2 linked regions of the Cricetulus griseus genome follow. The protein of the gene in region 2 interacts with the protein of the main gene of each other region in a pairwise test. Links are inferred from orthologs where the notes say so. Each region holds a gene or a part of one and is shown on either strand. Other genes may lie near its edges.

Evidence for each region.
Region 1: the proteins of Tfcp2 (region 2) and Ca1 interact in binary tests that used the Homo sapiens proteins (3 or more experiments, as listed by UniProt). The two-hybrid records come from large-scale screens. The link is inferred for Cricetulus griseus from reciprocal best matches to the Homo sapiens genes TFCP2 and CA1.

What each region holds. Positions count from the first base shown.
Region 1 is NC_048595.1:134,344,086-134,347,479, forward strand, and holds the end of Ca1 (carbonic anhydrase 1), read left to right. Parts: intron 1-1,798; coding exon 1,799-1,954; intron 1,955-2,710; coding exon 2,711-2,827; downstream 2,828-3,394. UniProt on the Homo sapiens protein: Catalyzes the reversible hydration of carbon dioxide. Can hydrate cyanamide to urea.
Region 2 is NC_048595.1:396,972,683-396,976,512, reverse strand, and holds part of Tfcp2 (alpha-globin transcription factor CP2), read left to right. Parts: intron 1-867; coding exon 868-995; intron 996-1,385; coding exon 1,386-1,528; intron 1,529-3,830.

The sequences.
Region 1 (3,394 bases), about 260 Mb from region 2:
TTCATGAAAAGAAATATCTTGATTTCTTTATTAGTTCAAAACTATGGATATGAAGATCCCTATTTGAGAAATATGATTCTGAACTAAACACAAAACCCTTAATGGATTTTCTGAAACCCCCAATAATTCCTTATTCTGAAGGTCAAAGTGGTTTGGCATTTTCTTTCACAGTGTGAAGACCTATTGTGTTTTTATTCAAAATAAGTTTGTTTTATGCTGAGTTCAGAAAAGAACTTTGAGTAAGCATATTGTAAAGTGAGAGATGGAATATTTTTAAACTCTACCCGAGTGTCAAAATTATATAGAAATAAAACTAGAAGGAAATAGTGAGGATAAAAGCAGAAAATAGTAAAATGACAGATAAATACAAAACACTATTTTATCAATTAATGAAAATTTTATTCTATTGAATAAACAGCAGCAAAAAAGAATGATTTGGGCAGCTTTGGTAAAGGAAAACTGGCATAAATACCAAACACTATTAGAGGGACTAGCAAGATGGCTCAGCAGGTAAAGGTGATTGCTTGAACCGCTGAAGCTGACCTAATGGAAAGAAAGAACTTCCTCCTGCAGGTTGTCCAGTGACCTCCACAGTGCATTCACACACATATGCCTACAGAGAAATGCATACGTTAATTCATTAGTAAGTGTAAGAAACTGTATTCAAAGCTTAGAAAATATAGTATAAATGAGGAAGAAAATTTTTGAATCAATACAACAGTGTATCAATAAATTTGAAAAGTCAGATAAAATGAGTGACATTCAAGAAAACACAAATTATAAAAATGAACCAAAAGAAAAACCAAATAGACCAAAACTCTAAGAATAATTTGAAAAGACAGTGAACATATATCTATTAAACAGAATTCCATGCCCAGTCTAATTTATAAGAAAATTTATTCAGCCTTTAAGAAACAATCAAGTGAGGTAGATGGCTCAACAGATTTGCCATGAACAAAACAAAAAAAACAAAATAATTATGAAAATCAATATATAAAATAATTATACCAAATCACTTACAATAGCATATTGATAAAGTCATATTTTTGAACAAGTAGAGTTCATTCTAGATGTGGATGGTTTAGTGTAAGAACATCTTTGAGTAGAAGCATTGTATTATGGGATTAAATATGAAAATTCCCATCATCAGCTTCTCCAACTGAAGTTGTTCTACTGTAATCAAGAAAAAGAACAATTAACATCGTAATTAAAATTTTAACCATTACACAATTAAAGAACAAAATAAAAAGCTAAGTACTGGGAAAGCAAAAACAAAATTATCACCATGTATTGATGATATGTTAACTGTGTTTACCTGGAAAACTTTAAAAAATCAACTGAAAAATGAAATTGATACAAAGTCTGCTAAAACTGGTTGCACAAAAAATTACCATACAAATATCTGTTCATTTTCTTTATAAAATCTGAAAAATTCATGGGAATAAATAAGAGTAAATGCAATTGTGGTCTCATGAATGCCGTTGCCCCTAGCACAGGGTAGAGCATTATCCAAAGATATTTAAATGTTTCCTAATGAATATTAAGTTCTTTTGATAAATACAAGTTACAGAAAAGTTTTTAGGATTTTCTTCTTATCCACCAAAATAAAAGGAAGATTTAATGTCCAAAACTTCCATATAGTATGTTTACATCCTTTTTATTGTTCATATTCAAAAACATACCTGTCATAAAGCAAGTATAGTAGAAATTTTTAATGCACCTAATATATCTAGGTAATATATAAGGGGGAATACATTGATGCATTTTATAGCATGACATATACTGCTTTTGTTCCCAGGGGAAACGAGCCCCATTCACAAATTTTGACCCATCCTGTCTCCTTCCTTCATCCCTGGATTACTGGACTTACTTTGGCTCTCTGACTCACCCTCCTCTTCATGAGAGTGTCACCTGGTTCATCTGCAAGGAGAGCATCAGTGTCAGCCCCGAACAGGTACCAACTGAAATGGATTTGCTTTTAGTGAAGGATCCCAAGTTTTCAAAAATAAAAAACAAAAGTCCATGCAATAACTGTTCCTACTGTGTGCATAAATAAATGCATGAGGTTCCAAATTTCTGCTGTTCTTCATAAAGAAAAGCCAACACTTGTTAGGTGGTTTCTTCCAATGTCAGGAACAGTGAACTTTTCCTTGGAACTTCTATCGTGCCCTCACTGGGCCTTACTGAACAGTTGGTCAAATAGTTTCGGATTTTCTAGCTAAAGTCCTAAAATATGTCACAAAGTACCTTCTTGCTTATTGTTTCTAAAGATGTTGCTGATGGCTGAAGGAACAGCTACTTTCCTGAGATGTCTTGTGTTTCTCACAATATTGTACCCCATGTTAATTGATGTTTTGTACACCCAACCCAACTATGGGCCCTTTGCATGGATTAAAGCATTTAATCTTAACAACAGCCACCCAAAGGAGATGCTATATGAAATTAAGGGGTGCTGGCATGACATATCACTTATACAATCTCCCCAGCTAACAAAGAGAAAGCTGGTATTCTTACAGAGAGCCAGCTATGCCTCATTTAGGCAAAATACCTTTGCAGAGGCAGAAAAATGAGTGCAACCACTTCCCGCCCACTAAGAAAATCGCCACTATCCTCAACTGCTTTCTAAGCAACAGAGCATTAAGTTCTCTGGAAACAAAGTGCTTTCTGGGACTTTAACAGCTTTTCATCCTTTAAATGTCTCTCCCCACAGCTGGCACAGCTCCGAAGTGTTCTATCAAATGCAGAGGGAGAGGCGGCTGTTCCTATTCTGACCAACCACCGTCCAACCCAGCCCCTGAAGGGCAGAACAGTGACAGCCTCATTTTGAGGCCCAGCAAGGAGGAGTCCTGGATCAGTACTCGGCCCCTCTGCAGACATCACCCAGTATCGTGATCACTTTTTAGAAACAAAATTATTTCAGTGCTAGTAAGAGAGCAAACCTGCAAATTTAATCCGCAGAACTAAAAAAAAAAAGTTTTAATTCCTGATGCTTATTGCAAAGAATCTATAAACTTGCCCATTATAATCTTTAAACATGTGCTTGTGCTTAAATCATCTTCTTTTGTGGAATGTTTCATAAGATAATTATAATTAAGGGATTTGTTCTCTTTCTCCTCTCTCCATTTTAATTGAACCAATAAAATGACTTTATCTCTTTCTTTTTGTCTATTGTGCATTTTATTAAAACCATTAGGTTTCTCCTCCATTCACAGTCATAAATCTTAAATGACTTACTTGAGTTTTTTTTTTTTTTTTTTTTTTTTTTTTTTTTTTTTTGGCCTGAAATGTAAGCTAAGAGCAGCCAGGCATGAAACTCTGACTCATCTATTTGACTTAAGATGGCCTCCAGATTTAGGGTTTTTATGTTAGCCCAACACTGGCTTCATCTGTGTGA
Region 2 (3,830 bases):
TCAGATCTTCCACTTTACTTTGCCAGCCTTCCTTCCTTCCTTCCTTCCTTCCTTCCTTCCTTCCTTCCTTCCTTCCTTCCTTCCTTCCTTCCTTCCTTCTTCCCCTCCTTCCCTCCCTCCCTCCCTCCCTCCCTCCCTTCCTTCCTTTTTGTGTATGTGGCAGGGGAGGGGGTGTCTGGGGTCATATGAAGATCAGAGGACAATGTGCAAGAGTCATTTCCTCCCGTCATGTGGTTCTCAGGGATTAAACTCAAGTGGCAGGAGCTTTGTTAGCTGAGACATCTTGCTCACTACCTATTAGTATTTTTAAGTAAACAGCATATCTAGAACCTGACCCTTATATTAAGCAGTACCTCTTACATTTTGAACGTTTCTAACCATAACTCCAAATCTCACAAACTCCATTGACTACAGTTGCTCCATGGTCATGTAAAGGACCAACAGTCAAATTCAGGGTTTAGTGAAGAGATCTTGGGAGAATGAGGACCCTGACTTACCAGTTCTAAGCTAGCATTAGTGTTCTCTGCCCCTCTCTCCCTACTTCTCCTCTTCTAACCCTTCCCTTTTCAGTGCTGAGAATGGAACCTGGGGATTTAAGCATACCAGGCTAACAGTCTACTACTGAGCCCTAGTCCTGGCCCCACATATAACTTTTCAGGGAAAGCAGAGTTTAGAAGCTTAAATGGTGCCTCCTGTTGGAGCCAATCAGCTTAAACAACAAAGCCCACCACTGAGAGATAGGAAACAAGTAACATTAATAGATTTCATCTCTGCTCTCTCCAGCGATGGAGGGACAAACACTACCTGTGGATGTGCTTACCATGGGAAAACATTGTAAAAATGACCATCCCTTTTCTTCCCACACAGGATGGTGCGACCAAGGCTAACCATTTATGTCTGTCAGGAATCGGTGCAGCTGAGGGAACAGCAACAGCAGCAGCAGCAGCCTCCACAACAGAAGCAGGAAGATGGAGATTCAAATGGTACTTTCTTCGGTAGGTTGTTCTGGGCAGACTAGGACAGGTAGGAAGAAAGGAGAAGAGAAGACTCATGGGCGGGTGTGATGGGAGTTCAGACCAGTTCAGCATTGAGTTCTACAAGTAATGGCAATTGCTCACATTTATTCAGCTCTTAACTTATGCCATGTGCTATTACCAATACTTTATATATACTTGAATTTTTAAATAGTGCTGTAGATTGTCTGCTCTCCAGTCTTTAGAACAGGGAAAGGACTAGGTTTGTTGAGTAGCTTTCCCCAGTTCACATTGAAAAACTGTATCTGAGCAGGCCCTGAAGCCAGGCTGTGTGATTGTGAGTCTACAGCATGAGCTGATCACCTGCAGATGCAGACAGCCTCTGAATGACTGCTGGACCTTCTTTTGCAGTGTACCATGCTATCTATCTAGAAGAACTGACTGCTGTTGAATTAACAGAAAAAATTGCCCAGCTTTTCAGTATTTCTCCTCATCAGATCAGCCAGATTTACAAGCAAGGGCCAACAGGAATCCATGTGCTCATCAGTGATGAGGTCAGTTTCTCAGTCCTGTTGTATTTCGTGTGCCCTGGTGTTTAGGGCACATGTCAGGTCCAAGAGTACTCTGCCAAGGTTGGACTCTGTTTCCTACAAAGAGGTTTAACTTTTTAATTTTAGCAAATTTTGCTATTTTTGCCTGAGGGACCCTGAACTTGTGGGTTCACTTGACCCTCCTGCTTCAGCATCCTGGGTATCTGGAACTATTGGCATGAACTACTGCATCTGGCTTAGATCTTACTGTTTACTTACCTCCTGATTTTTAAAACTTATGTATAAAGTGCTGTAGCTCCAGCACAAAGAGAAGTGGAAGCAGGAAAATCATGAATTCGAATTCACCTCTGGCTGTGTAGTAAGTTCAAGGCCCACCTGGCCTAGGCAAAAAAAAAAAAAAAAAAAAAAAAAAAAAAAAAAAAAAAAAAAAACGGTTGAAGGAGAGGTGGCTTAGCAGTTATGAGTGCTTTCTTCACAATCAAGAGAACCAAAGTTCAGATCCCAGCACCATGGTTTTTTGTTTTGTTTTAAAGATGGGTGTGATCCCCCATGTGCCTGTAACCTCAGCACAGGAGGATCACTGGAGCTTGTACTCTGCCAGCCCAGCTGATGGGGCTAGATCAGGGAATGAGCTCCAGGTTCAGTGACATACCTGCTTTAAATAAAAACAAGGTGGACAGTGAAGAGAACACCTGGTATTTGAGTTTGGCCTCTGTGAGTAATTGTATACTCATATATGTGTGCATATACACCACATATACCACACATACACCTGATACACATACACACAAAACTAAATGTATCTTTTGTATATTTTAGGTCGATTTTTAAAAGTTTCAAAAATTGTAAAAGTTTTCTCAATTGAGTAAAAACAGTCACTCCTAGACACACAACGTTTTAAAATGAGGTAGTGGATAGGGAGACGCTCAGTTGGTGACGAGCTTGCTGCACAGATGTAAGGACCTGAACTAGGATCCCCACCACCCAGTTAGACAGCCAGGCATGGCAGTGTGTGCCTGTAATTCCGCACTAAGGAGGCAGAGAGAAACTGTTTCAAAAAAATGAAAAGCAATTTAGGAAGACAGCAGATGTTAACCACTGGCTTCTACATGTGTGTGCTCACGTACTGCCCCCCCCCCCCATGGTTAGTCTGGGAGAGAAGATGCTTCTTATCATTCCAACATCTGGAAGGTAGAGGCAGGAGTGTTAGGAGTTCAGTGTCATCCCTGGCCAATTCAGTGCCAACCTGAGGGAGAGGAAGAGAGAGGTTGATAGTACATTCTTTTTAACCCAAATACAAGTCTTTGTTTTTTTCCCAGCACTGGAACTGAAATCAAAATTACAATAGTGCTTCAGAGAGATGGCTTAGCAGTTAAGAGCACTGGCTGCTCTTTCAGAGGACCCAAGTCCCAGCACCCACATGGTGGCTCACACTGTCTGTAACTCCAATTCCAGGGATTCTGACACCCTTTTCTGAAACCTATGGGCACCAGGCAGGCACATGATGCATACATTACATGGCAGGCAAAGCATTCATACACATAAAATAAATAAATTTACTTTTTACAAATTATGTAATACAATTATTCATTTTAAAAAGTATGCATTTAAAAAAGTGTGTACACATACACGGGCACGAGCACACACACACACACACGCACGCACGCACGCACGCACGCACGCACATGCAGGTGTGTCCCCTTTCATGCATATGCTTGTGGAGACCAGAGTTTGAATTTAGGTGTTTTCCTCAGCTACTCTCCACCTTAATTTTTAGGTTTTAGACAGGGTCTAAATTGAATTTGAAGCTTACCAGTTCCACAACGCTGGCCATTGAGCCAAGGCTGGGTTACTGGCACATGCCACTGCACTCAGCTTTTTATGTGACTGCTAGGAATCTGAACTCAGGTCCTCACTCACAGTGCACAGCAAGCACTTTACCACTGACTACTTAGCTATCACTCCTGTCCTTTGCCTGTCTTTATGGGCTTTACATTTTTGAGACAGGGTCTTTGTAGTCAACCCCCTATATAGCCAAAAATGACCTTAAACTTCTGATCCTCCTACCTCTGCTACCCAAGTGCTGGAAATATAAGTGTGTGCTAGCCTGGCTTCCACAGACTTGTTTGTTTGTTTGCTTGTTTTTTAAAGTGTGTGTGTGTGTGTGTGTGTGTGTGTGTGTGTGTGTGTGTGTGTCTGTGTGTCTGTGTGTCTGTGTGTCTGTGTGTCTGTGCGCGCGCACGCGCGCGCGCACATGGAGGTCAGAAGAGGGTGCCAGATCTTCTGGAGCTGCTGCTACAGGTGA